Linked DNA regions of Notamacropus eugenii. The main gene of each other region encodes a partner of the protein of the gene in region 4 in a complex. Links are inferred from orthologs where the notes say so. Each region holds a gene or a part of one and is shown on either strand. Other genes may lie near its edges. The genes, in order: MKS1, TMEM107, TMEM216 and TCTN1.

The links.
Region 1: TCTN1 (region 4) and MKS1 share a complex: the UniProt entries of both Homo sapiens proteins name them as parts of the tectonic-like complex. The link is inferred for Notamacropus eugenii from reciprocal best matches to the Homo sapiens genes TCTN1 and MKS1.
Region 2: TCTN1 (region 4) and TMEM107 share a complex: the UniProt entries of both Homo sapiens proteins name them as parts of the tectonic-like complex. The link is inferred for Notamacropus eugenii from reciprocal best matches to the Homo sapiens genes TCTN1 and TMEM107.
Region 3: TCTN1 (region 4) and TMEM216 share a complex: the UniProt entries of both Homo sapiens proteins name them as parts of the tectonic-like complex. The link is inferred for Notamacropus eugenii from reciprocal best matches to the Homo sapiens genes TCTN1 and TMEM216.

Annotation. Positions count from the first base shown.
Region 1 is NC_092873.1:370,734,124-370,741,186, forward strand, and holds the start of MKS1 (tectonic-like complex member MKS1), read right to left. Parts: upstream 3,024-7,063; 5' UTR 2,940-3,023; coding exon 2,860-2,939; intron 1,620-2,859; coding exon 1,510-1,619; intron 1,396-1,509; exon of another isoform or gene 1,321-1,395; intron 1-1,320. UniProt on the Homo sapiens protein: Component of the tectonic-like complex, a complex localized at the transition zone of primary cilia and acting as a barrier that prevents diffusion of transmembrane proteins between the cilia and plasma membranes.
Region 2 is NC_092873.1:77,718,730-77,725,846, reverse strand, and holds the start of TMEM107 (transmembrane protein 107), read right to left. Parts: upstream 3,005-7,117; 5' UTR 2,889-3,004; coding exon 2,787-2,888; intron 2,230-2,786; coding exon 2,162-2,229; intron 2,014-2,161; coding exon 1,913-2,013; intron 1,560-1,912; coding exon 1,463-1,559; intron 1,294-1,462; coding exon 1,224-1,293; 3' UTR 1-1,223. UniProt on the Homo sapiens protein: Plays a role in cilia formation and embryonic patterning. Requires for normal Sonic hedgehog (Shh) signaling in the neural tube and acts in combination with GLI2 and GLI3 to pattern ventral and intermediate neuronal cell types.
Region 3 is NC_092873.1:12,955,769-12,963,244, reverse strand, and holds TMEM216 (transmembrane protein 216), read right to left. Parts: upstream 2,645-7,476; 5' UTR 2,488-2,644; coding exon 2,475-2,487; intron 2,278-2,474; coding exon 2,176-2,277; intron 1,907-2,175; coding exon 1,814-1,906; intron 1,405-1,813; coding exon 1,203-1,404; intron 1,024-1,202; coding exon 1,008-1,023; 3' UTR 523-1,007; downstream 1-522. Other genes in the region: TMEM138 (transmembrane protein 138), read right to left, coding at 4,380-4,492, 4,705-4,780. UniProt on the Homo sapiens protein: Part of the tectonic-like complex which is required for tissue-specific ciliogenesis and may regulate ciliary membrane composition.
Region 4 is NC_092875.1:35,714,371-35,721,290, forward strand, and holds the start of TCTN1 (tectonic-1), read right to left. Parts: upstream 3,003-6,920; 5' UTR 2,236-3,002; coding exon 1,959-2,235; intron 1-1,958. UniProt on the Homo sapiens protein: Component of the tectonic-like complex, a complex localized at the transition zone of primary cilia and acting as a barrier that prevents diffusion of transmembrane proteins between the cilia and plasma membranes.

The DNA.
Region 1 (7,063 bases), on a different chromosome or scaffold from region 4:
AAAATTTCAGATGTACACCTGATTCAAAAGGGTGAATTTCATAGGCAGCTCCCAATTGCTAATAAACTTTATGTCAGTTATTTGGAAATCGGAACTCACTTTCCTACAGAAAAGTTAAAAGTAGCAGTTAAGATTCTCTTCATTACACAAAATCTATCTAACCAATAATGTAACCACATTTAACCATCATTCTAAACAATGTTTCTGTAGGAAAATCTATCTTAAGTTCCAGCTAGGGACAAAAAAGAAGGCTGTCCACTTCCACAAGGGTGATTCTCCCAAGTCCCCAAAACACTGCTCCAGAGTAAGCGTGCTAAAGGCTGTATCTAGTTCAAAAGACTAGAGGTTCATAATTAGGCAGGACCTTAGGGCAATCTAGTCCAATTTTCTCATTTTGGATAAATGATTTGTCCAAGGTCACACGGTCAGTAAACAGCAGATGATTTCAGCTCAAGTTCTCTGACTCCAAATCCAACACACTTTGCAAAGTTTCTGGACCTTGAATTTACTCAAAAAAGTCACATATATGCGAAAGCATTAAGAATTTCTTACTTGTGTACAACACCTACAGATACATTATCTCATTTGGTCCTTACTGTTCTGTAAGGCAGATATTTTGTAGAAGAGAAAACTGATTCTCAGAAATGGGCAACATATCATTACAGAATCAATTAGACCTATACAGTGGCATGTACTCAGATAGTCAAGGTCTAGAACTGTGATATATTAGATCCTTTGTGCTCAAATCTCTTCATAACAGCCCCTCTGCCGCCTTTCCAATCTTCTTACACCTCACACCCTGCCCTCCTTTGTCTTTAGAGACTTTTCAATCCAGCCTCCTTGATTGAGGCCTCATTGCTGTTCCTAACAAGATACTCCATTGCCTGACTCTAGACAATATCACTGCCTAGAATTCTCTTCCTCCTCATCTCTGTGTCCTGGCTTCTTTCAAGTCTCAACTGAAATCCCACTTTGTAAAGGAAGCCTGCCCAAGCCCTCTGAATTCTAGAGCCTTCCCTCTGTTGATTATCTCCAGCTTATCTTGTTTGCAACTTGTCTGTACAAAGTTGCTTGCACAGTGTCTCCCATCAGACTATGAGTTCCTAGAGAATAGGGCTATCTTGGTTTTTTTTGCATCTGCTGTGTTTAGCACAATGACTGGCAGAGAGTAGTTGATGCTTAATAAATGTTTACTGACTGACTAACTAGATTATGTATTAAGTGCCTAGGCCACAACTAGTACCCATTCAGAACTCTTTTGGTAAACAATGTACTTCTCCTTTTCCCTCAAACCCTGTTTGAGAAGCTGAGCAGGCCAACCTCCTCAAAGGTATAAAGTCTCCAGAAGTCCAGGGCAAGAGCAGAGAATTCAAGAACTCAGGTCACTACTGCTTCCTGGGAGGCAGGAGGAAGGTGAACAGGAATGGTTATCCTCAGACCTCAAACACCACCTACTCCCAGTACCCTCCCCAAATTCCCAACCAATCAAATCATAATATGAATACATACTGGCAGAAGTTGGTGGGCTAAGGGTGGCCAAGCCTATAGTGTCATTTGCCAGTTGGGGAGAAGACGGGCGGAGGAGGAGGCTGCCTGAAGTGATTTTCTGGAGATGAACTCTGACAAAGAGAGAAAGAGAGAATCCTAGCATAGACAACACAATGATGGGGCGTCCATATCACAGAGTTGTACAAGAGTACCATAAATGGGAGTGGGCAGCTAGGGCAGGCCAGTCTTTGTGGGAATGTATGAGGAGGGAGGAGGTAGAACAGGGTTAAAGCAAAGTCTGTGATTGGGGGGAGGGGGGAATAGTAACAGCACATTCAAGAACAGTGGTAGAAACAGAGAGGCCTGAGAGAAATTACGTCTGTGAGTGGAAAGGGTGCTTGTGGTAAGGTTATGAGGGAGAATGACTCAGGTCTCAGAGAAGGATGTCTATACGGTGGGTCCCAAAGAATATGAGATGGGAACCGCGTAACTCTAAAACCTTAGGGAGAGGGGGCTTGATATTTAGACCACCCATCTCATTTTGCAAAGGAAACAGCGGCCCAAAGGAGAAGGACGGTTGAAGGTCATAGAGCAGGGCCCCATTTAGAACCCAGGTCTCCAGAATCCAGAAGGCTCCGCTGCCTCTCGCTGATTCCGAGAGCTGGATTCTAAACTCGGCTTGGCCGTTACCTCGGGGGCCTCTTTACTCCTTCCCCACCCACCCCCGCCCCCAGAGGAAGAGGAGATGGATTTTATCTTAGGGCTTAAAGCTGGAAGGCCTCTCACATTCAATCCAATGAGCCCTTCATCCAGTGCTCCTTCGTACCAGGAGACAGAACTGAAAACGGGCCTCGCTCTCCAGGGGCTCCCCTAAGGTTCCCCTGCCCCGAGCTCCTGGTTTCACCGATATACGATGATCAATAACGGGCCGGATTGGGGGCTCCATCCAGTCTTACTAGCCACGTGACCCTGGGCACGTCACTTCCAACAAAAGCCTCTGCCTCAGGCTCCCCGTTGGCAGTGCCTCCCTGCCAGGCGGCTGTCTGGAGGATCAATCAGACAAAAACGGTCCGCGCTCAGCGCTACACGACCTTAGCTATTCACTATTATCGCCGGGACTGACGATGATGATGGTGGCGCGTCCCAGGCTCGCAGGGGCTGGAGCCCAACCAAGTCATGCCACAAAAGAGGGCGCTGAGGCTGAGAGACAAGGGACTCGCCCAAAGGCACCCGCGGGGAGCGCGGGGCTCGAACCCGGGGCTCGGCGCAGGGGGCCTCACGTCACCCCGCGGAGCCCTGCCCTGACGGAGATCAAGCGGAGGAGAAGCAGAGGGGGAGCGGGACGGGACGGGGATGAGGGGAGGCCGGTACCGGAGCCGAAGGTTGCGCACGGGGTCCCGGGAGCGATACACGGCCTCCCCGGTATCGGTACTCCAGCCCGGCTCAGCCATGGCTGCCGCGTTTACTGCGCCTGCGCGGGGACAACCGTCGCTCGCGCGCTTGAGTTAGTTCCCCTGGCAACGGGGCACGCCGGAAGGGCGCGGGGCAGGGCGGGACGATGACGTAATCCTGGCTCTGGGTGGGCGTGCCGAGGGCCGGCTGGGGAGTGCGATCCGGAGCCTAGAATGGGATTGTCCCTAAAGGCCCCGGATAGATTTCAGGGGACCCAGATTTGTTTAACCTCAAAGGAAAACTGAGCAGTTCACGGTTCTGGGGAGCAGCGTCTGGGTCCATTGGCTTCCCCAGGCTGCTCCAGGGGTCCAGGACATGAAAAAGTTTAGAATCCCTCAGCTAGAGCATCCAACCCAACCCTGTTATTTTAGGGAGTCGAGGGATTACAATGACAGGGGTCAAGTGATTTTTCCTAGGACCCACCGGCTATAGGCGATCAATCAATAAACATTTATTAAGCTAATATGAAGCAGCGAGGTCACCGGACCTGGAGTCGGGATAGACCTGAGTGCAAATGCTGCCTCACCCGCTGTGTGACCCTGGACAAGTCATTCAGCCTCTGGCTGCCTCCGTTTTCTCATCTATAAAAAGGGAGATAACAAAAACACCCGCTTCCTAGGGTGGCTGTGAGAATGAAATGAGATAATGTGGGTGAAGGGCTTTAAGCACTACATTACTAGGTGCCACTACTGGCGCTGTGCTAATCTTGATGTGGATACAAATACAGAAAAATAAAAATAAAGAACTCTGCCCACAAGGAGCTTACTTTCTTTTTAAAAATTGTATTTCATTTTTATGTCACCTTGATTTCTGATAATGTTTAATATAAAATTTTGGAATAATCTCTTTGCTCTCTCTGAAGCAAACTCAAAGAATGCCTCTTCCTATGTCAACAAAAGCCAGCCAAGGCTGACTTAACATTCTTTGGGAGACCTTTAACCTAAGACACTATCTTGAATAATGGGACATTTTCCATATCTTAATATTTGTAGACATATACTGTGTTATGGCATGTTAATGGTAAAGAAAATACAGACATCTTAGGTCGTAATTTCTATTTGAACTTTGTTTACCCTTTCCTGTGTCAGCTATTTCGAATATCTGGTTAGGACAGGAAGCCTGCCACTCACTAGTGGTGGGATTTCCTTTCTTGTCCTATGTCACTGAGGCATATGTTTACCCAGCCTGGAATCACAAGGCTCAACTGACATTGCCCTATTAATTGTCTTGTCTTACTGAATTTATGATTTGTTCAACTAAGAGAGTTCCTTTCTCATGGCAAAATGTATATAAGTCAGAAGATTTCTGTACTGGGTAGCCAGAACATTTTTCTGGCTCCATAATGCATTATGTTACCATTTTCTTTAATAGGGGATTGATCAATTAATTAATTAAATCATAAAATGTATGCATTTAGCCTGTTGCCTTTTCTTTAACCAAGTTTTCAGGTCAACATTTCATAACAATAAAAAAAGGGGAAAATGTTCAGCAAAAATAACCAAACCACCAACAGAGCCTGAGATATGTACCTTCATACCCATTGTCCCATCAACCTCTGAAAAGAAGGGAGGGAGATTCTAGGGAGCAAGCTTGGTCATTATTCACCCACAGCATTCACTTTCTTTTTTATTTGTTTTTCATCTTTAAAATTTTTTTTTTCAATTAAGAAACTTTTTTTTTATTAATCTGTGGCTCCCACTGACTCCCAAATGAGAAAAAAAAAATTTTAAACCCCCCAAAATGAATCCCTTTGTACGCAACTGCTTAATTCAGCAAAAGAAATTCTCATGTTAGCTGTCTTAAAATGTGTACCTCTTTCTGCATTTATGTTCATTACCTTTCTGTCAGGAGGTGAATGCTGTGTTTTGTTTTCATTCTTTTGGAATTGTGGTTTCTCAATGCATGATCAGAATTCTCAAGTTTTTCAAAGTTCTTTTTTTTCTCCAATGCTATTATCATTGAGAACAATAATTTGTTCTTTTGTTTCTACTCAATTCCCTCTATATCAGTTCATAGATGTTTTCCCAACTTCATCTGAAAAATTCATTATGGTGGCATAATATTATTCTATTACATTCACATACCATAATTTGTTAAGCCATTCCTCAATAAGATATCCCCTTAATTTCCAATATTTGGCTAGCACGAAAAGAGTTACTATAAATATTTTTCTACGTACAGATCCTTTATCACATTCTTTGATTTCTTTGGGGTGTAGTCCTAGTAGTGGTATAGCTGGATCAAAAGGTATGCAGAGTTTGAAAACTTTCTGGAATAATTCCATATTGTTTTTCAGAAAAGCTGCAGCAATTCATAGCTGTAACAACAGCTCATTTAGTGTGCCTGTTGGGGGCAACTAAGTGGCACAGGGGGATAGACTGCCTCAGATACTTATTATCTATGTGACCCTGAGCAAGTCAGTCTCAGTCTCAGTTCCCTCATCTGTAAAATAGTGATAATAGCGCCTATTTACCGTGTTGTTGTGAGTCTCAAATGAGTTTAGCAGAGTGTAAAGAACTTAGCAGAGTGCCTGACATAGTGAGTACTATGTAAATGCTAGCATTATATTATTTTCCTACAGCTTTTCCAACATCATTTTCTATTTTTATCATTTTTGTCAGTCTGATAGATGAGTTGGAGCTTCCAGGTTGCTTTGATTTGCATTTCTGTAATTATTAGTGATTTAGAGCATTTTTTCATATGATTGTTGATAACATAGATTTCGACTCTCCATTCTTATCATTTTATCTATTGTAGAATGGTTCTTATTCAAATAAATTTGAATGTGTTCCTTATACATCTTGGATATGAGACCTTTATCAGAGAAACTTGTTGCAAAGATCTATTCCCAGTTACCTATTTTCCTTATAATTTTTGTTACATTCACTTTGCTTGCACGAAAACTTTTAAATTTTCTACAACCAAAATTGCCTATTTTATCTTGTATGATCCATTCTGTCTTTTATTTGGTGATGAACTCTTCTTCTATCCATCAATCCAAAAGGTAATTTCTTCTTAGCTCTTCTAATTTGTTTATGATGTGATCTTTCACATCTAGTTCATGTATTCATTTGGAGCTTATCTTGGTATATAATATGAGATGTTGATCTAAAACAAATTTCTGCCAAGTTGCTGTACAGTTTTTGTGAGGCCTTCCCCCAGTACCTGCAACCTTCAGGCTTATCAAATGCTATGCTACGTGTAAGTTTATTTCTGTATGTTACTTACCTAATCTGTTTTGCTGATCTACCTTTCTACTTTTTAACCAGTACCAAGTCATTTTTAATAATTATTGCATATTTAGATTATTTAATGATTATTTTAATGATAATGATTATCAATCAGTTTGAACTTGGTACTGATCTCCTTCTTTCCCAGTTCTTTTCATGATTACCTTGAAAATCTTGACCGCGATATGGAAAGGGGCTATAAGCAGGTGAGTCAATACAAGCTACACACAAAACAAGTACTAAGTAATTAGGGTGAGTAATGAAAGGAGAATAATAATAGGGGAAAGTTACAGGAATGTAACCTGTGATTAAAGAACAAAGCAGAGGTTAACTGATCAGTATGGAAATCCCCATAAAATGAGGGGTCTGAATTTCAACCCAGGCCCTCGGATTCCAATCCAGTACTCTTCCCAAGATATATTGTAATTGAGAGAGGTAGCTCCAGGGCTAGAATTTAGGCCTACAAAATCCAAATGCATTTCTCTTTCCGTTTTACCTGCTGTTACCAGTGAACACTAATATGGCTGAAACATTTTGTAATGAGTGACGAACTTGGGCAAAACCCAACGGGAAGGAAACAATGTAGAAGAGTGAAGTGAATACTCAATCTAGAAGCGGAGAACCTCAGGTTCAAACTCCAGCTCTGCTACCTATATTTCATTGGGTAAATCAATTAACTTCCCTGGACCCTAATTTCCTCAGTTATGAAAAATACAGAGACTGGACTAGAGGGCCTCTACACTTTTTTCCAGCTCTAATTCTTATATCCTAATGCAAACAAAGCGCAAATAGTAGGGGTGCCAAAGGTGGTTTGCCCAAAGGCCTATTCAGCTCTTTGAATGAAAGGTTTTTATCTACCTGGTCCTGGGATCCTTTTTGTCCAGAACATTCTA
Region 2 (7,117 bases), on a different chromosome or scaffold from region 4:
TCCAAAGGTATTTGTAATATTCAGGGATAGAATAATGCCATGCTTGATCTTTCATCATATTTACTTTCACTTCAAACCTAAGATTCAGAAATTTAGAACTGGAAGTATCTGAGAGCTCATCTAAGCCAATGCCTTCCTTCTGTAAACGTGGAAACCACTACTATAGTAACGAACAAAACTGGAACAAAATTCAGACTCTGAGGCTTCTTGTGATCATATCTCATTGGCTCAAGGTGCTAAGCTCCCTTCCATTTTTTCTTGTCACCATTAATCTTTCCTAGGAGAGTGTCACTTATTCTTACCTTCTAGATTGGCATGTCTCACCTAATCCTGTTGGAAAAAGAGAAGAGTTGGGGTATACTATAAAAATGAACTCCCTAGTGGAGACAGGGTACTATTTTCCCATTTCCTCACAATAACTCCATTTTACACAAAGATGAGATTGAGAATGAAAAATGTTAAGTGACTTTTCCAAGATCACACAGCTAGTAAGTGTTCAAGGGTCCCCGGTTTGTGCACCATGACACGTCACTCGGATGGTAGTAAGTATTGCCCATTTCACAGATGGGAAGAAATTACATCCGTTCAGGGCATGCCTTACAAACAATAAAGAATATTTTCTGGGAGCTAAATGCAGGACATTCTAACTCTGATTTACCTAATGGATGGATACTGGGCACTGTCTTTCCCCAAGCCCATAAATAACGAAGGCCTATTCCATCCATCTGCACCCCAAACAATCTAAAGAAGCTAGTCTTAGCTTCTTCACTCAGGGTTCCAAAGCCTCCTGGTCCTCATTTGCATATTGTCCCAGGAATGACGTACATTGTCACTCGCATAAATCAGCCCCGCCCCTTCCTGGGATTTGGACCGTAATCATCGAAAAAGGGGCACCAGTAACTTTAAGGTCCTGGAATGGATGGGAAAACACCAGGCTCCCCTTGCGGCACACTCCTCTCTGCTGTGTCTTCCCTTCCCCTGTGTATGGCCAACATCGAATGTCCCCTGCAACTGGTGTCACCAGCTTTAGTTATGGTACAAAAGTGGGGTTTTATTATAAAATATTATATACAATGTCAATGTGCGAAAACTCAGGGGGATAAGAACACTGCCAACAGTCCCCCAAACCCTGTCGCTGGCAGTCTTCCCAGTTATTTTTCCAAGGACTGAGGGCTGACTTCAAAGCCTTCTCGGTCTTCTGCCCCACGTTTGTGGGAAGTGGTTCAGAAAGATTTTTTCTTTAACACGAAGACAGCGATGACCAATATTACTTCAGTGGAAGCTGGGAGAACACTGCAAGAGGAGGGAGGCGTGATCAAAGACTTTCTCGTAACAAAGACGGCCCAGTCCCAGCACTGACACCCTAGTCAGGACCAGCCCTTAAACCCAGAAAGCAGGAAAGCGTTGCCTCCTCGGGGGCAGCCTCTCGGAAACCTTGGATAGGTGGCCCCTCGTGCCGCACCTGCAGAAGGCGAAGATGTACCAATAGACGTAGCACTCCCAACCCTCGAAGACGAAGAAGGCCAAAGACACCGCTGCGCAGCAGTGCAGCGCGATGGCTTCAGGAGAGTCAGGGAAAAACAATGGAACTACATTTCCCAGCAGGCTTGGGAGAAGGGGGGGTGGTACCCAGGCAGGACCCGTCCTCGGCCGAGGAGGGAAGGGAACCTGCGCTTACTCTGCCAGCAAATTAAGCCAGGTTAGGAAGCGGAGTTCAATTCTCTTTCCTTCCTCGTCTCCCCGACCCCTGCTTATGTCACCACCATGTTAAGAGGGGCTCCATCTTGCGCCAAGCTCAAGTTAAACTTCAGAGATCCACACTTCGCCCCCCCAACCCCCGAGGCCTAGCACTCTTCCATTTGGGGAGCCACGCCACTGGCCACTGGGGGGAAAGAGTAGGTGGAAAGGATACAGAAGAGGCTCTGGGTGGAGTTGAACATGGACACGCCTGAAAAGAAACCTGCTAGTTCTATCAGGAAGAGGCCCAGGGTAATGGAGAGAGCAGTGACCATCCTATGTAGGGATAAAGCGGTCCTGGAGTCTACCCTTCGCAACCAGGGGCCTTCTCCCTCTCCAGGATGGCTTGACTCCTCCACCCCACCCCAAAGTGGAGGAGGGGAAAGCCTCCCCCACTGGCCCGCCCATCCCCTGGGTGGCTCACTTAAGGTCCTCCTCCTCATACTCCTCCGAGGTGAAATCGGGAGGCAGACTGGCCTGGACGTTGATGTCCTAGGAAAGAAGAGCAGGAGTAAAACAGGGTTTTTAAGCCAGGATGGAACAGAAACGGTAGCTGCAGGGCAGCCAGTGTTTGTCCCTTCCCCTTCTTCCCACGGAGCGTGGAAGCTACAGAGTGGGCCTTAAGAAACCACCGGTTCATAAAACATGCTGGGGAGGACACAGAGGTCCATGGACCCGCAGTCCCTAAAGTCACACAGCGTAAAGACTAAACCCTAAAGCTAGATTTCCTGACCCCTACGTAGGACCGGCTCGGGATGCTCCGGCCTGCGCTTGGGGAGGGCAGAAAGAGTAACTCATTAAGGGGGTAAAAGTTGGGGGGGGCGGGAACCTTTCTGTAAAGAAAGGATTACGAGTTGCAGGCGCAGGCGCAGGAGAAGCTAGGGGATGTAAAGGAAGAGGAGTCCCAAGCGCAGGCGCAGGCCGGGAAAGCGGGAGCTCAGGCGATGATCACCGGCACGGGCGACTTGCGTCACCCGCTCAAACCCTGGGCCGGAGACAGGGGGCCCCGGGAAAGCGAAGGGAAAAGGCTGGGATGGCAGTTAGGTTACCCGCGTCCAGAAGATGGTGACGACGATTACCAGATGAGCTAGCAACGTCAGAAAACGAGAGGGCACCAGCCCAGTGATCCGCCCCATGCTTTCCGAGAACATGGGTCGGCGGCCGTAGATCCACGATTCCTTCCGCACCTCGCCGCCGCCTCTCAGTTGCCACGGACAACCAGGGCATTATTTTTTTTTTAACCATGACGGTTGGCTAAACTACTCAGGAAATCTCGTGAGAAGTAGCAATGCACTGAGAGGGATTGAATTTAAAGGGACCCTCCCGTAGCTTGCAGCAAACCGCCGGCCTTAGCGCAGAATTCGTGCCTTCGCTTGCGGGATTGGAGATCCTGCGACCTCGAGGCCCTCCAGGTCCCTGGGTGCGGCCTTTGGACTGACAAATCCTTTTATTATCTAGGCCGCAGATTCCCCACCCTTGGCAGATTCTTCCCTGGAAACAAGGGTGCCTGACCTCCCCCCCAAACTTGTCCTTTTAGAATTTATCCTGTAAATAGCCATAGGGCTCCCCCCTCCATAGCATCTTCCCCTGGAGCTGCCGAGCCCGTTTCCAGTCCTTCTCCCCACGTTCCCTCTCTCTTTACACCCTTGTCACCCTAATTCATTTACATGCCGTGGTTACTGCCCTCTTCCTACTCAGTTCCCGAAGGGCTAGGAACCGCCTGACCTACACCTACCCCAGAATCCTAGCAGGGGGTCTCGTTCTGGGGTTTGTTTAAAGAGTGCCGAAGGAAGGAATATTACGCTTTCCCCAAGTATCTGGCAGAGTTCAGAGCTGGAAATTCGGGAAGCAAAAGACGAGACGTCCCCTGCTTTAAGGAATTTGCCTTCTAATAGGTGATGACGTTATGAATGAATGAATGAATGAATGAATGAATGAATGAATGGGCGCTAAGTACTTTGCTAAAAGTGCTGAACGCTAGCTGTGCGAATACAAAAAATGAAAACAGTACCAGATCTAGAGGAGCTTACGATCTTTTTAAGATTGCCTTTTCCTTTTTAAAAAAACAAAAACAAAAAAAACCAGGACACCTTTGTTGTTGTTTCATTCATCTGACCTTCCCAGTACTCACCCACCTTGGGCAACTTAAAAAATCGTACAATCGGACCAAAAAACAAATTGTTCAATATATATGTACATAGTCTGGCGAAACAAATTTCACACATTTAAATGTATGGCTTTTTAATGCCATTTTAAGTTCATCATCCCTCTGTCAGGAGGTGAGTGTCTTATTTTATCTTCATTCTTTGGGATTGGTGGTTTATCTTTGTAGTAATCAGAGTTCTAAAGTTTTTCAATGTTGTTTTCCCTTACTGGTATTAACAATACATAAATTATTCTCTGGTTCTGATGGGGATGGAATCTGAATACATAAAAGGAGAAGATCATGTCTTTGGGATCTGGACCCTCTAAAGGAAAAGCCCTGGGGCTTTTTCAGGTGGCCCACATCCCTGGTATGTGCCTGGGGCACTCAGCCCTTCCAGGTCTTTCTCTGTTACTGCTGAGGTTCGGGGTGCTGCGTACCCCAAAATACCAACATGATAGGTCCTGCTCAGATGAATTCAAGTCAAGCCTTTTTTAAGCCAAAGTAAAACAAAGTTTATTAATTCTTTAATCTTTAATTCGCCATATTGGGTTGACTTTTAAAGAGCCTAAGCATCTGGAACACTATATTAACAAGCGGACCAGATACAATCTCAACTAGACGGAGTCTGAGCTGGATTGAATCCGAGCACTTCCATGGAGGTGAGATGGAATTTACATATAGAAAGACCATGGGAAAGATCTAGAGGTGGTCTAGTAGTCTGGGAGGAGGGTCTAAGGAGGATCTTGATGGGACTAGGATAACTAGTGATATAATCCAGGATGGGAAACAGCTGGAGGCAATTGGGAGCTATCAGACAATGGAGGGCCAGGGTAGGAAGCAGGTGGGGCCATCCAGAGGTAACAAACTATGTTACCTTGGGTAACACTGAGGGTCGGCTAGATTAAGGGGAACAGATATGAGTATGAAAGGCCAGATAAAGTGGGAAGATTCAAGGAGGTTCCCAGAGTCTGTACCACATCATTACCTCCCAGTCACCCCAGACTACTTGGTCTCTCTTAGATCCTTCCCACAGTCTTTCTGTGTATAAGGTGCATCTTGCCCCCCATTAAATTGCTCATATTCCTTAAGAATCTGTCCCTGTTGAGGCTTAGGGGTTCTGAGACCCTGAAATAGCAACACGCTGGGTCCTGCCTGAGTGAATTCAACCCAAACCTTCTTTCAGCCAAAGAAAAACAAAGTTTATTAAAGATCCACCATATTGGGTAGATTCTTAAGGAATCTGAGCATTTGTGATGCTTGTGTTGAATCTGAGCATTTGTGCGGCTGTGGGTCAGATAGAATCTGAGCCCTTGTGATGAGGGCCAGAATGCACCTTGATGGAGTCAAGATGGATCTTATATACAAAAAGGCTGTGGGGGGGATTTAGAGGTGGCCAAGTAGTCTAGGGTGACTAGAGGAGGGGTTTACAGAGGGTCTTTATGGGAATGGCCTGGTCAGTAGGCTGGGGTAATTAGAGGTCAAACACCAGGAACTAGGAGAATAGGATTAAGTGTGGGAAGTAGCTGAAGACTACTTGGAGGTAGGAGACTATGGAAGGCTGGGCTAGTTTAAGGGTAACAGATTTGGGCATAGTAATAATGGAAGGTTTATGACCTCAGGCAAACACTAGAGCAAGTTGGAAGACTCAAGGAAAGTTCAAGGGGGCTTCTAGAGCCTATACCCATCTGCCCCACTTGCATTATCAATACAAAAGTCTCATATTCTTTACGTTTTGTCAATGTTCATATTCAGTGTGGCCCTCTTGATAATACAAGTGTCACAATAGGGCAGATTCTTAAAATCTTGCCCACCCAGACCATGTTCTAATAAGCCTTATTTCTAGCTGAAAGAAGGCTTGAGTCTAATTCATTTGAGGCAGGACTCTAGAGTTGTTTGCCCTTGAATTTCAGGGTTCCAGAAGCCCTAGACCTCAACAGTTCTGCTCACTTCACTAATTATCAGTTTAGAGAGGTCTTCCCAGTTTACTCTGAAATCATTCATTTCACTATTTTTATGGCACAATAGTATTCCATACATTCATATACCCCAATTTGTGTAGTCACTCATCAATAGGAGGACCTTCTCCTTCCAATTTTTGTCTTCCATAATAGAACTGTAAGGGATGATTGAATTTTGTTTCCATAGAAATTACATGAAACCTAAGAGGTTATACTGATGGCAAAACTGATTGTAGTGGAAGGGCAGTGGGGGATGTTGGCCACCTGTTAATCAACATATCTAAAAGCAGACTCTTCTTCTTTTGTTCTGAGAAGGCCTTTGTCCAGTGTATCAAAAACTGGCCAGTTGTGGTTCTCCAAGGATGGGGTCCATTAACCCAGATAACTGTCTTAGATAATGTGACTCTTTCTCATCGATATCCTGGGCCAATGTTCAACTCACAGCTTTTGTCAATTCTCTTAGCAATTGAGAAAATTCTTTTCTCATGCTATGGTGATCATAACATCTGATGCAGACAAACTAGGAGGATGTCCAGCCTAATTGCCGTGGGCTGCCCGGGTCATCTTACCTATCTCCAGGTCTTCGGTGGCCAGCCAGATAAACGTATCGAGAGAAGAGACTTCCAGGGTCAAACAGAAGTTGTAAGCTTTATTCAGGATCTTAGTTACATGTCAGCATGCAGGGCGAGTTCTTCCCGAGGAGAAAGGAACCCCACCCCCAGGCTTTCCTGTCCCCATTTAAACTCTCCCCGCTGCATAGTTCGCTCATGGATACCATGCATGCTCTCATCCCCTTAGCTAATTAACAAAAGGGTGTGCTCAGACCACAGACCAATCTCAAGGGTGAGATGCTTTCCCCAGCAAGTTTCCACTGAGAAGAGGTGGAAAAACAAGAAAGCTCGAGTCTCATACCTCAATTCTCAGCTGTTCCCTGGGGGGCCTCATGAGAGCTCGAAATCAAGAAGCCCTCACTTTTACCTGCCCAAGGGCGTTCACATGAGAACTGAGCTTACACCTCAAAAGAAGGAAACTAGAAGCATTTATTAAATAAAGTATAAAGAAAATGAAGATGAAAGGGAAGGGATTGAAATGTGGAAATGAGAGCTGTAAGCAGGAAACCATGTGGGGTTGGGGTTTAGGTGTTTTCAGATAGACTGTGAACCTTGAAATGCCTGACCAATGAGATGAAAAGGGAAATACTAATCAGAATGGGTTATGACTTTGTAATTGTCTTGAAGTGTGCCTGTGTCTACTAAGGTACCCTTTTCCACAAAGG
Region 3 (7,476 bases), on a different chromosome or scaffold from region 4:
AGGTACAGAAGGGACAAGACTTGCCAAAAGTCTCATGGCCTCCGAAGGCTTCAAGATTCTGTAAAGAAAGGAAGAGGGGGCTGGCAGTTAATCTCTGAAGAGGAACACGAGACAGATGTGACTGCGTGCAGCAGAACAAATGGGGGACAGATCAATAAGGTATAAGTGATGGTCAACAGAAGATTTGGGCATTGTTCCCCCCAAGCCTCTTCCTTTGTTTTCTCATCTTTAAATAGAGGCTAACGCTTCCAGTCTGTCTACCAAAAGATCCTGCCACCTCACCACAGCATCAGCCTAGAGAGCAGAGGTTTTATGAAGGCCCTTGGTTCCTGGTGACTGAGTTCCCAAACCAGGCCACAGCAGGCACTGTAAGGAAGACAGTCAGAAAGCCTCACGGAGGCCTGATGCTGTGATGCTGCTGCTTGATGGAAAGACTAGCAGGCTTTTGGGAGGTCTGGGAAGCAGGGACCTAGTACTGTCCTTGGGCTTTGTGCAAAGAACAGTGCCATAAGCAGCCCCCACAACAGAAAATAAATATTTATTGTAAATAAATAGTGTTTGTTCGAAGACATAGTGTAAGAAAATGATACCCCAAGCTATTGAGTGTTGTTGCCTAGTCCCTTCTGAAGCTCATCCCCTACAATGAACGAATGGGATGAGGTCCGGGTTTGGGGTTAGTGGAAGAAAAACACCCTTGTGAAATGCAGGTCCACAGTGCTTCCAGGGACACACGCACAACGGGCCTAGCTCAAGCTGGGGGCCCCGGAGACCTAGACAATCCAAACTCAGTGCTCTGGTTGTGACAAGAGGGAGTGCCAAGTAAGGACCATGTGCAAGGGCCCAGGACAGGGCTGTGTGCTCTCTGCTATCCTGAAGGAGATGGAGAACATATTCTGTAGGCTGGTCTAGAAGATACTGCCGGGACCAAGTCAAAGGGCTGGCCTCCTCAAGAGCATGTGTCTCTGTGGCACCAGGGGGTTGAGTCACCAGGGCTCAATTAGGCCACTTCAATACGAATCCATGCTATGGGCAAGAAGAGACCACAGTAGGTTAAAGACCAAAGAGCAGTAGCTAACCTCACCTATCCACCGCTGGCACCTCAGCCTCCAAGATCTCCCAGCCCCATATCCAGCCTCACCCCGTCTCCCCTACACAGGGCCCTCCTAGAGGGGAGGCCTGAGCCCAGGCTGAGGAAGTAGTACCTGTTGAAGGTGGTGAGCGTGATCAACTCAAGCACCAGCTCTAAGCCACAGAAAATGAGCAGAATGGTGCTCATGACAACTTCAAGGCGCAGAATGTAGGTCTGCAGCAAGAGGTAATAGGAAGCCATCATGGCTGACGGAATGGTCATGGCCAAGCTGATCCCAAGGGGCATCATCCTTTGACAGAGGTTCCCTTTTGTAGCTGTCAAGACAGGCACAAAACAGGCCCTGGGGATCACTTCCAGTGGCCTGCCCTGAGCTTACAAGGCTGGAGCAGGGAAAGCCACGGAGGCTGCAAAATGGGTGGAAGTCCAGGTTTAGAAGTCATGCAGGTCTGTGGTGATGGGAAACTTGGCCTAGAAGAGTTAGGACTTTGGGTTCCTCCCTCCTCCTCCAAAGGAGCACTCGGGACCATCACAGCAAGGACATATGCCCCTGACACCCAGTGCCCACCGCAAGGGGGAAGGCCCCGGGAGAACCACGTGCCCCCCCGGCCTCCTCTGTCCAGAGGAAGGAAAGGGACTGTCCAACCCTGTAACCTTCCCCTGGGCCACAGAAGGGGGCCAGGACCCTTTCGGTCCCCTGCTAAGGTGCGGGGATCAGCCACTTACCAAAAAAGAGGCGGATGATTTCAACGCCAAGGTAAAGAAAGAGCATGATCAGGTCCAGAACTAGGTTGGCTGTTGGGTACGGTAACAGAAGACCTGCGGGGGCCAGAACGAGGCTGCAGCAGGCGGCGGGGGAGGGGTGCCGGTCTGACACCTCACCCCTGCTGTGCGGCTGGACAGGCACAGCACAACCGGGGGTCGGCGCCGGTCCTTCAGGCTCTCCAGGCAACACTTTGGGAGGGGCGGGGCCGGACGGGCGGGGCTGCTTGGGGGCGGGGCCAGACGAGGGGCGGGGCGACGTTCACCCAGGGCTCTGGGGGGTCAGGGGCGGGGCTTCGCGCCAGGGAGGGGGGCGCACGCCTCACCTTTGTACATGAACACGAAGAGCTCCAGCAGGAAGTAGGTGGCGCTGTACCAGCCATTGAGAAAGAGCAAGATCTCCAGGGAGATGGACGACAGCCGGCGGTCTGGAGGGGGAGGCCCGAGGTTGGTGAGCGGCTGGGCCGCGTCCCCCCCGCCTCCCGCCCCGGCCGGCCCCCGCCCGCCCCGGCTCGCCCGCGTTCACGGCCGCGGCCAGCGCACTCCTCGCTGTGGACCCGTGGGGAAACCGAGGCCTGGGCGGGGGTCCCCGAACGCGGAGACTCACACACCTCGGGCAGCTCACCTCGCGGTGCCATCGCCACTCAGTCCCCATGGAAACTGCTGGCGCGGCGCCTGGGCTCCCGGAGACCAGCTCGGCGCCTGCCGGAAGTGAGGGGCGGGGCGAGGCGGCGCCCGCCCGGAAGGGCCGCTCTAGCTGGCGGCCGCTCCAGCTCGGTGGGGGCGGCCGCCGAGCATGCGCGAGGCCTGCGGCGCTGGGCCCTGGCGGGGGCGCGGCCTCTGGGGGCGGGGCCTCCGCCTGGCGAAGGGCGGGGCCTCCGCCTGGCGAAGGGCGGGGCAAGCGGAGGCGAGCCCTGCCGGGGCGCCCACGTGAGAGGCCGAGGGCGGCTCGGGGCGGGCCCCCTCCGGGCGTCAGCTTTCTTCAGTGCTCCCGCACAACCATCCTGGGGGACGGGGCTGCTACTGAGGCAGACAGCAGCGAGCCCCAAGATGCCCTCCTGCGCAGGGCTCAGACACTCCCTCCTCTCAGACCCCCCTCGCATACCCCCACTTCTCCCTCCCTCTGGAACCCACACTCGTGCCCCCAGAAAAAGCCCCCTAATTGTTGAACCTCTCCCTCTCCCGCGAGTGCGTCCCTGCACCTCCGTGCACACTTCTCCTGCACATCCTGCACACCCTCCTAGCCTGCCTCTCCCAGCTCCGGAGTCATCTTCCCCCAAATCCTCGTCGGCCCGTGGCCCCCTACTACCTCTGGGACCAAATGGAAAATTCTGTGCTTGGCATCTAAAGCCCTTCACAGCCTTTACAATCTACACACTTCCTGCAGCTCCTTGCCCAAGAGGCGCTCTCTTCCTCTTCCATGCCTTTTCCCTAGCTGTGCCCCATACCTGGAATGCCATCCCTGCCTCCCTCTTCTAGCTTCCCTGACTTCTTCAAGTCTCAAACCCCAGGTTCAGTGCATAAGTCCGTCCTGGCCTCCCCCTCCCAGTGCCTTCTCTCTGGAACTGCCTCCCAAGGACTCTGCTCTGTAGAGGCTGTGTCCTGGGTGATTGGCAGGTAGAGTTAGGGCTTGAACCCTGAAGGGCAGGGACTGACTTGTTCACTTTCTTTGTATCTCTTCCATAAGACAACATTTATATGTAAATGTATACAAAAGATAAACCAATGCAAGGTAAGGACCTACAGAAAAGCATTTCCACCATTTTACAGGTGAAGAAACTGAGGCTCTGAGAAGCTGCCCACAGTCACACAAGTAATGAGCGCTAGGACCAGGCCTTGAATCCAGGCCCCCTCCCTGTGTTTTAGGCCCATGCCAGACTCCCACATGGCCCTAGGGCTGACCACAGAAACAATTTGTCAGACTCTGGATCTAGTCTAGGAACAAATAAGGCAGCTGGAGAAGGCTGAAAATTCATTGAATCCAAACTGCTCATGTTCATCTCAGGAAAACGGAAGAGCTAAGAAAGGAAATGGCCTCTCAAAGGCCGGGTCTACCTATAGGGAAAGGGGATATGCAGGCCACCAAGGGAAGGAAACCAGGCATCACCACCAACAGAAACAGCCTGGCCTTGGAAATTTATGGCAAAAGGGATACATTTATTACCTATTTTAAAAAAGTACAAAAGGGCTGTAGAGCATAAAAACCTCCAAGCCCAAGTCTCTTAAGTGTGCCAGTGTTATTCTCTGCATGCCCAGGCCTGCGGTGGGGGGAGAGGGAGCAGCCAAAGGGGGCTCTTAATAAGGGCTCCTAGGTGGAACTTCCTGGTTGCAGGAAGGGAGCCAATGGGCCCTCAGGCTCTAGGGGAAGTGGTACAGAGGGGCCGTGCTGTGTCGTGGGCAGCAGGCTGCGCAGGAGACCTTTAGTTAGCATGCAGGTGAGTAATAGGGAACATGTGCCCGCCTTGCCCTGGTCATGGGCCCCCAATGATGCAGCAGGCAGGGTTCCCGCAGTCTGGCTGGTGCAGAGGGGTCAGCTTCGCACTCTGGTGAATTCCTTGCGCAGCCACAGAGAATCCTGGTAGAACCGTGGATCACCCAGGCGGATGGCTGTCCTCTTGTAGAAGTAGCAATAGAGAACAGCAGCTGGGGATAAGAATGGGAAAAGGGCCCTGAAGGGTACTCCCCTTCAAGCTGCTCCTCTGGGGACATGACATGGGAGATAGTGGGATCAGACTCCCCAGCACCACCAGGTGAGGGGTGGGAAGGGGAAGGACCACTGCAGGGGTGATGGGACTTATGCCACTGGCTGACTCTAGAATGAAGGACCTGCTGGGGGAAGGTGATGTGGTCCTTACCCAGTCTCTGAAACACAAACAGGGTTTGAAGACCATCTGTCCAAATAAAATGCTTGGAGTTTTTCCAGCGCAGGTTCTAAAGGAGAGAAGCAGCCAAGGTAAAGCCAGCATTCAGATGTGGCCCTTGCTCTGTCTGTACTTCTGACCCCACACAGGATGCACCACCACATGGCCCAGCTCTTTCCCATGCACCAACCCATTATGTTCTTAGGCCCAGTCCTCCCACTGACTGGTACAGGAGCTTGGACCATTGCAGCCTGGCCATGCTGATAGCTCCCAATCCCGGGGCTCACCACGCTGATGTTAGCGTAGACAACCAAGCAGCAGGACCCAGCCATTGGAACTCCTGTGCTCCCCTGGGATTACAGATGGGGACATTTTCTTAACAGACTAACCAAGTTCTCTTTTTCCTGGGAAAGGATGATGGGGCATGGCCCTTCCACACATAAATGCTTTGTCAAGCCCTTCATTGCTTCCCTTACCAGGAAGAGGCATTCACTATGTATGAGGTCCAGGCCTGGGACTCCTGTGTGGACAGGGTCAGCCTGTTTACTCCTCTCATCTTGGTCTATGCTCCTGGTAGCCAAGGGCTCAGGTGTACTCGGAATTAAACAGCTCGGCTCAGGAGCTTTACAAAATAAAAGCAGAACCTATTTTGGCTTCAGCACGAAGATCTCAGAAAATCCTCTTATCTCCCCTGCCGGGCAGACAGTACAAGGCCAGGAGCTGTGCCAGCTTAGTGCCACGTCACCAGCATGAGCTGGCTTCCTACTTGTGAGCTCTGCTCCTCTCCTGAGGGCTGGAGTTTTGGCAATCCACACCTTCCCCTCAGACTACCTCTCTGATGAGCCAGCCCAGACCAGGGTATGTAGAGCTGGGCCTGGAATTAAGGAAGCCAGGCTCAAACTCTGTCTCAGATCTGTAGCTAGCAGGGTCATCCTGGGCCAGTCATTTCATTTCTCTCAAGCCTCTGAGACAAAGGAAAAAGCCTCTGCCAATGCAGACTGACCCTCTCTGCAACTCATCATATTAGGGAGCTCCCCCGAGTCTTACTCAGGCTCACCTGGCCAGGAGGCCCCTGAGGAAGCCTGCCCTGTAGCTGCTAGCTGCGCCAGCCAGCGCACTCCCACCCCACGTCTTTTTTGCCTTCTTGAGGGACTCGCGGTTGAGACATCCCAGGAGGATTCTCCACCCTACAAGATGGTGGGCTCCCCTCACAATTCCATGTATGGTGGGCACCGTCTGTCCAACAGGCCTGATGTTGCATGAGCAAGCTTGGTTGAACTGCTCTTTTCCTCCTTTTTAAATCTCTGTTTAATGAGAGGTGATTTCTTTGGAAATAAGGATGATGTAAAAACAAAAAAATATCATTAAATAGAGTACATTTCTAAAAAGAAAGAATTAGAAGATGGGTGTTTGTTTCTGGGAGATGACGGAAGTCCTTAACAAAACTCTGCTATTTTCTGGAGGTCCTTCTATTCAGTTCTGAGCCCAAATCAGTCTGCACCATCATACACATATGCACACACACACAGGTACATATATACATACACATATATATTCACACGTATATGTATATAATAATGGATGGACTCTGTAGATTGTCCACATGACGGCCTATCACAATAGGCAGTCTTTATCCACTTGCTTTTTCCTGTGTGGATGGTTACATCAAACTTTTTTTGTCACTATGGATCTCTTCTAGGAGGCCCTGCCATGTTATGGGCCTTCATGTGACCATTATGGTGTCATCCATAAACTAGAGCATGTGGAAGACTTCATTATAAGAAATCCCTCTTCACTGTAAATTCTGTGTTTGATCTCCTCTACGACAGTGGCAAATATTTTCGTCTGTTTGTTGTCCTTTCATTTTCACCCTTGATCACTCTTGGGAAATGTTTTTTTCTTTTTCAGTGGGGTGGGAGAGGCAATTAGGGTAAAATGACTTGCCTAGGGTCACACAGCTAGTAACTGTCAGAGGCCAGATTTGAACTTAGTGGACTCCTTCTGACTCCAGGGACAGTGCTGTATCCACTGCACCATCTATCAATCCCCTCCTCATGAAAGTTGTGTTCTGGGCCTGTTTTTCTCCTCTCCCTTCCCTTCCTTGGTGATCTCATCAGCTCTTACATGTTCCAATGTCATCAATGATTGACTCCCAATCTTTAAATTCAGCCCAAATCTCTCTCCTGCATCCTGTCCCATGCTACTAATTCCTCTGGATATCCTGTATGCATCTAAAACCGAATTGGAATGAGTGGAGAAGCATTTCCTGAATGCTCACTATATGCTGGGTACTGTGCTAACAAGTTCAAAATAAGCCTCACTATTCCATTTCCTCCATTCCAAAAGGCAGCCAGGTCACTCCATTCTCCCCCAGACTTCTTCCTGCCAGCTAGGTTCCCAAAGCATGATTGCTCTCTCTCCATCATCCTGAAGCTCCCAGCACCCATCTCTGCATGCCCACAGCTTCTAACCTGGCTCTTGCAAGACATCAATGGACCTCACACTTCTAGTCTCTTTCCTCTGCAATTGGTCCTCCCCAAAGCTGCCAAAACAAGTTGCTAAAACACGGATCTGACCATGTCACTCCTCTCCTCAAAAATCCCCCAAGGTTTCCACTCCCTCTAGGATAAAATACAAATCTCGGTCTGGAGTTCCAAATGCCTCATGAGAGGGTTTCCACTTCACTTTCCTGTCATTTCTCTCTCTCGTTCCTCTTGCTCTTCTCTGGCCCTGACATTCCATCCCCACCATGTCTGCACACAGACC
Region 4 (6,920 bases):
GACACAGAATTCTGCATAAAGTAAGCATTCAATAAGTAGGATCACTGATTTAGAGATGAAAGGCACCTTAGGGGTCACTGAGTCCAACTTTTTCATTTTTCAAAAGAAGTAACTAAGTCCCAGAGGGGTTCAGTGGCTTGTTCAGTGACACAGGCAGTGTCTAAGAGAACAGTCAAGCCCAGGCCCTGCTGTCTCCAAACACAGCATGCACTCTGTTCACCATATTAAGCCCCTTATATGTAGCTAGCTGACACTGTAGATACAATTTCTGACCTGCAGTCAAGGAAGACCTGAGTTCAAATCTAACCTAAGACACCAGCTCTATGAAACCTGGGCAAGTCACGACATAACCTCTGTTTGCCTCAGTTTCCAGATTATAATAGCACAAGATTGTGGTGAGGATCAAGCAAGATAACACGTATAACATATACCACATAATCAAAGTGCTTTGCAAACTTCAATATACACTATACAGCTATCTGAGGTGTATGGGGTGTTCATGGAGGACTAGCACCTCTGGCGTGAGAGCTTGCCATGATGGAGTAAACCATCCAGCAGACAGGCTAAACCAGGCTAAGGATAACTGATAGGCCTCAAAACCCATCAGTGAGTTATGGAGACATCTACCTCAAGTATGTGAAGGCTTTCCCCAGCAGAAAAGGTAGATAAGAACAATTTAGAGCTTAGACAAAATGACACCAAGGTCATCCACCACATTTAGGGCCATTGCCAGTTGTCATGACTTTTGTCTTGCTACTGGACTTGGATGACTTGGAAAGACTGAAGCTAACTCACTGAAATGCAGTTCACATGAGTCAAGATGTCACTGGTCCTTTTGGTAAATGAAGGACAAACAATAGAGCTGTTGTTTACAATTGTATACAATGCATTTGCCATATTGGGTTGACTCTTAAGGAGCCTAAGCATTTGTAATGCTTGTATTCACCAGTGGGCCAGATAGAATCTCAGCTAGATGCCCAGATGACTTGGGTTCTACTGGCTCCTTTCCTTTCCTGTCCTGTCCTGGCCTATCCTGTCCTGTCTTCTTCGGCAATGAAGGACGAACACAATACAATGCAAACATTTAAGGGCCAGCTATTATGATATTATCCTATCTGTTCCTTGTTATTTCTTAATATACTTCTCACTTCATGAAGGCAGAACTTGTATTTCACCTAAAATACATATGTCCTCTAATGATGGGTGCCACAGTGTATAATGCACTGGGACCTAGAATCAGGAAGACCTGAATTTAAATCCTTCCTCAGACACTTAGTAGTTATGGACAAGTCATTTAATCCCTGTTTGCTTCAGTTTCCTTATCTGTAAAAGGGGTATAACGCAGCACTTCTCTCACAGGGCTGGTATGAAGACTATATGAGTTAACACATATAAAATGGTCTGCAAACTTTAAAGCGAAACATCAATGTTATTACAAGTAAGATGCACTCCTAAAATTCACTTTGCTTTTTGTTTCTCCAGCCATCTCCTGTCATCCTGATGAATATCAAGCCACTGGAGGAGAAGGTGAGGCTGGTGATCTTGCACAGCCCTCACTCACTCAGATCAGAGTCAACTGCAAGTCACGTCGTCATCTTGATGTCATGGACCTCTTCCAGAACGAAGGACAAACGCAACAACAGGCAGGGTCTGGCACACAGTTTGTCGCTTGATTGGGAGAGCTCTGCATACAGCAGGGACTTAACAGATGCTCCGGCTGCTGTATCTATGAGCTAGGGTGTCACCTTTTCTTTCCACAGACCCGGTACTTCCTCTACACGAGGTTGGGGCTTAAGAGATGCTCTGGCATCAGCTGCCCGCTGGGACCTCACCCCCTCCTCCGCACCAGTCTCCCCCCCTCCCCCACACAGAGTGCACTCTGTTCACACAGCAGGCACTTAGCAAATGTTGCTGCAGGCCTCCAGGTCTGTGTCCTCCCCTGCCTCCTCAGTACCCACCATTCGTGACCGGGCTGGGCCTCAGAGCAAGCCGCATGTCCTCCGCTGGGGCCAGGGGCGACTGAGAAGTGGCCCCGGCGGCCTCGCGGACCCCGGTCTCGGGCCTGTTGTCCCTGGAGCCCGGGGTGGGGCCGGGGTCGGGGTCCGGGATGGGCCCAGCATCGGGGCCCTGAGGAGTCTCTGCGGGGGCCCAAGGTGGGGGTTCGGAGTCTGGAACCTGCGCTGCCCCCAGGCCCAGGACGACGAGCAGCAGCAACAGGAGGCACCACCCCCCCATCTCAGGCCACTGAGCCACCGCCACGCCGGAAACGTGCGTTGTCTGGGCAACAGCAGCAGCCGAGCGCGGGGCATCACGGGAGGCGGGCAGGAGAAAGGGAGAGGCCGGGGCAGGCTGGGAAGAGTGGCAATGGCGGGGCGGGGCTAAGCCTGGGTTCCGGCCTGGGGAGGGGGAGGATGATGTCAGGAGAAGGGAGGCACCTCTGAGGACGCGAGGTTGCCGCAGTCCCGGGCGCAGAGCGAGGGGAGTCTAGGCAGGGGGATGGCGGCGGGGGAGCCGAACAACGTTTAAAAAGGGGCGGAGATTGACGTCAGCGCAGCCTAGCGAGGAGAGGGGAGTGGAAGGGGATGACGTCAGGGGCTCAGAGCCCTCCGTACCCTCCCCCCACCGTACCCCAGCCTGGGGACAGAAAGATTAATGTTAGGGAGACAGAGAAAATCTAGGGAATTGGAAGGCATAACGTCAGGTGCTCAGAATAGAGACTGAAATGTGACGTCAGGGGCTTAGAACCTCCCCCACCCCCATGACCCCGCCACCACCTCCCCCAAACACACACACCTATCCCGGGAAAGGGGAGAGAATAAAGGGCACAGAGCACGTCTAGGGAACTGGAAGGGGATGGCGTCGGGGGCTCAGAGCCCTCTCCTCCCTCCCCCCTCACCACCATCCTCCTGCCCCGGAGAAAGAGAGGAAGATCGATGTTAGGACCGAGTAAGCGCACACACACGCACACACACACACACACACTCCCCTGTCCTCCTTCCCCCCTCCCCCGTATCCCCAGCACGCGGAACGAGAGGTAGTTTAATGTTAAGGGCACAGAGCAAATCTAGGGAACTGGAAGGCCTGACAAGGGCGGCTCAGAATAAAAAATAGAAGACATCAAGGCTTTAGAGTCCCCCACCCCAGCACAGGCTGAAATTTTACCCCTGGAGATTAATGTCAGGAGCAGCAGACAGCATGTGTAAGGAGCTGAAAGGAGTTAACATCAGGGGTGCAGAGTAAAGTCTAGGGAACTGAATGGGGATGACATCTGGGTTCTCAGAGCCTGCTGAGGGATAGAGGAGACTGACATCAGCAGTTCAGAACCAGATTGGGGAAGTAGAGAAGACCCCAGTGATGCTGATGACATCAGCAGTGCAGACTAAAGGCAGGGAACTGGTAGAGACTGATGTCAAAGAGCAGACCTAGGGAAGCAGAGGGGGAATAATGTCAGGGACATAAAGTAAGTCCAGGGAATTGGAAAGGGATGACAACAGGGACTCCAAGGAAAGTTAAGGAAAGGAAGAGCATGACATCATAGGCACAGAACAAGTCTATGGAACTCTTAGAGTCTGATAGTGCCAAGGCTAAGGGAGAGGTTGAGAGACTGGCACAGTCTCCCTAGGCACAGAGTGGGCCTAGGGAACCTGAAGAGGTTGATGTCAGGCAGTGACCTAGGGAAGATGTGGGGACTAATGTCCAGAGTACAGACAGTGGCACCAAAGTAAAGCTAGGGAATGGAAGCAGATGGTGTCGTGGACACCTGGGGAATGGAAAATCACTGGAATCAGGGGTGGAGAACTGGGCTAGAGAACTGGAAGATAAGTGGGGGGGGAGGGGTACAGAGAGAGCCCAGGGAAGGGGAGGAAACTGATGCAGAACATAAGAGGAGGAGTGTGTCAGGGGGGTTAGTAAATTTAGGGAAATGAAGGTCATTGACATTCAGGGTTCAGAGCACAGCTTAGGGAATTAGAGGAAGATGAGTAAGGGGTGCAGAGGAAGGAAGGTTTAGTGTCTGGGAGGGGATGACATCAAAGGAGCAGAGCTATCCTACGAAGCTGGACAAAGGCCTGGGGACACAGCACTCTTGGAAAAGGAAGGTGATGGTCAGGAGAGGCAAGAGAGCTTGGTTAAGGGAAGGAGGATGAAAGCAGGGAGAAAAGGATTGAGGGGAGGAGAGAGTGGGATAGAGAGGGAAGAGCACTGGTCTTGGAGTCAGGAGACCTGGGCTTGTTCTGCTGCTGGAGAAAAGACTGCTGGGAAGGACCCTCAGATTGAATCCCCGATCTGCTGCTATGTGACCCAGAGAATATGACTTCTCCGGCCTTACTTATGCACAAAATGAGGTTGCATCTTTAAGGTCACTTTCAGCTCTAGGAGAAGCAGGCTAGCATCATCATAAATGGCAGGAGAAGCATTGCAGTGAAATAACAGAAATATGATTTTGGGGTAAAATATGAGCAAGGTGGAGACTAATACGGTTTTGTCAAGATATTGAGGGAACAGGCTCAGAGCAGTAGAGTGACACATGGAGTAAGCAGAGCATGGATTAGACCAAGCTCCTTTAGCTCTGCCCCAAGGGGCTTCCCACTCCTAAACCCCTGACGTCATCTTCCTGTCTTTATTCTGAGCCCCTGACGTCATCCCTTTCCCGTCCCCTAACCTCGCTAGGCTGCGCTGACGTCAATCTCCGCCCCTTCCCTAGACTTGCTTGGCACCTCCGACGTCAATCTCCTCCCCAGCGTAAACGCTGTTCGGCTCCCCTGCCGCCAGCCCCCTCCCTAGACCGCCCTCGCTCTGCGCCCCCAACTAAGTCTCCTCGCGTTCTCAGAGGCGGCTCACTCCTCCTGACGTCATCTTCCCCATTGCCTGAACCCGAGGCCCCACGTCCCTGACGTCAATCCTCGCCCCTTGTTGGGGATGGTTTAGCCCCTCCCCTCCCGTGCCCCCTTCCTCATCCCTCCTCTCTGCTCCTCCCGTGATGCCACGCGGCCGTTGCCCAGACAACACGCGTCTCCCGCCTGGCCAGTCTGTGGCCTGAGCTGCGGGCTCAGGCTGCTGCTCCTCATCCTCCTGGGCTCACCCCGAGCTCAGCCACTTCTCTGTCCCTCCTGACTCTGGTCCCGAGGCCCCCAGAGTGGGAGGTGCAACCTGCCCTGAGGCCCAGCCCAGCACGGTCCAGGCTGACAGCCACACTTATTAGGCGCCTGCTGTGAGCACCCAGAGCACACTGTGCGTGGGGAGGGAGGGCGACTGACTGAGGAAGGGGACACCCCCTCCTGCAGATACAGCAACTGATGCCAGAGCATCTATTAAGCCCCTGCTGTGTGCAAAGGGAGACAGTGAGACCCCAGCTCACAGAGAGCAACCAGAGCATCTGTGAAGTCCCTGCTGTATGCAGAACTCTCTCAAGCAAGCAGCAGACAGTGTGCCAACCCCTGCCTTGCTAGATGCTGGAGAGACAAAACTCAAAGTGAATCTTCATTGTTATAATGATAGCTACCATCAAGGTTGCCCTTTAAGCTTTGCAGACCATTTTACATGTGTTAACTCACTGAGTCCTCACAACAACCCTGTGAGAGGAGTGCTGCTGTCATACCCATTTTACAGATAAGGAAACTGAGGCAAACAGGGATTGCCCACAGCTCCTAAGTGGCTCAGGAAGGATTTGAATTCAGATCTTACCCCCCCCCCCTCTAGGTGCAGTGCATTAGACACAGTGGCACCCACCATTAGAGGATGAATAGATTTTAGATAAGATAGAGGTCCTACTTTCATGAAGCTAAAAGTATTCAGGGAATAACAACAAACAGATACATATTATCATAATAACAGCTGGTGTTTATATGGCTACATGAATTCACACATTATGTTATGTAGCTATATTGCTGGTTGTCCTTTGTTTTCAAAGGATACAATGACATCATGGGTATTGCCTTGACTTCTGTATGAACTGGACTGAAGTGAAGCAGAGTTGCACAAAGCCCTCAGCCTCGTTCTCTCTTCCAGGGTCATAGAAGTCCCGTGGCAAGACAAAAGTTAATCTAAATCACTACTGATTAGACAAATGCAAATCAAAACAACTCTGAGGTACCACATCACACCTATAAGATTGGATAACATGACAGAACAGGAAGATGATAAACGTGGGAAAATTGGAACCCTGACTCGTTGGTGGAGCTGTGAGCTGATCCAGCCATTCTGGAGAGCAATTTGGAACAATGCCCAAAGGGCTACAAAGATGTGCATACCCTTTGACCCAGCAATATCACTTCTAGGACTGTATCCCAAAGAGATCATAAGACTGGGGAAAAGTCCCACATGTACAAAAATATTTACAGCAGCTCTCTTTGTGGTGGCCAAGAACTGGAAATCAAGGGGATGTCCATCAGTTGGGGAATGGCTGAACAAGTTGTGATATATGAATGTAATGAAATGCTATTGTGCTATGAGAAATGATAAACAGGAGGACTTCAGAGAGGCCTGGAAGGATTTATATGAACTGATGCCGAGTGAAATAAGCAGAACCAGGAGAACATTGTACACAGTAACAGACAGTGTGCGAGGACTGTTTCTGATAGACTTAGCCCTTCGCAGCAATGCAAGGACCTAAAACATTCCCAAAGGACTCTTGAGGCAAAATGCCATCCACATCCAGAGAAAGAACTATGGAATCGGAACACAGAATGAAGCAGACTATTTTCTCTTGTATTATGTTTTGGTTTGGTTTGGTTTCTCTCATGGTTTCTCCCATTCATTTTAATTCTTTTTATGCAACATGACTAATGTGAAAATGTGGTTAATAAGAATGTATGTGTAGAACCTATATAAGATTGCATGCTGTCTTGGGGAGGGAAGGAAGAGGGAGAGGGAGAAAATTTAAGACTTATGGAAATGATTGTAGAAAACTTGAAACAAATAAA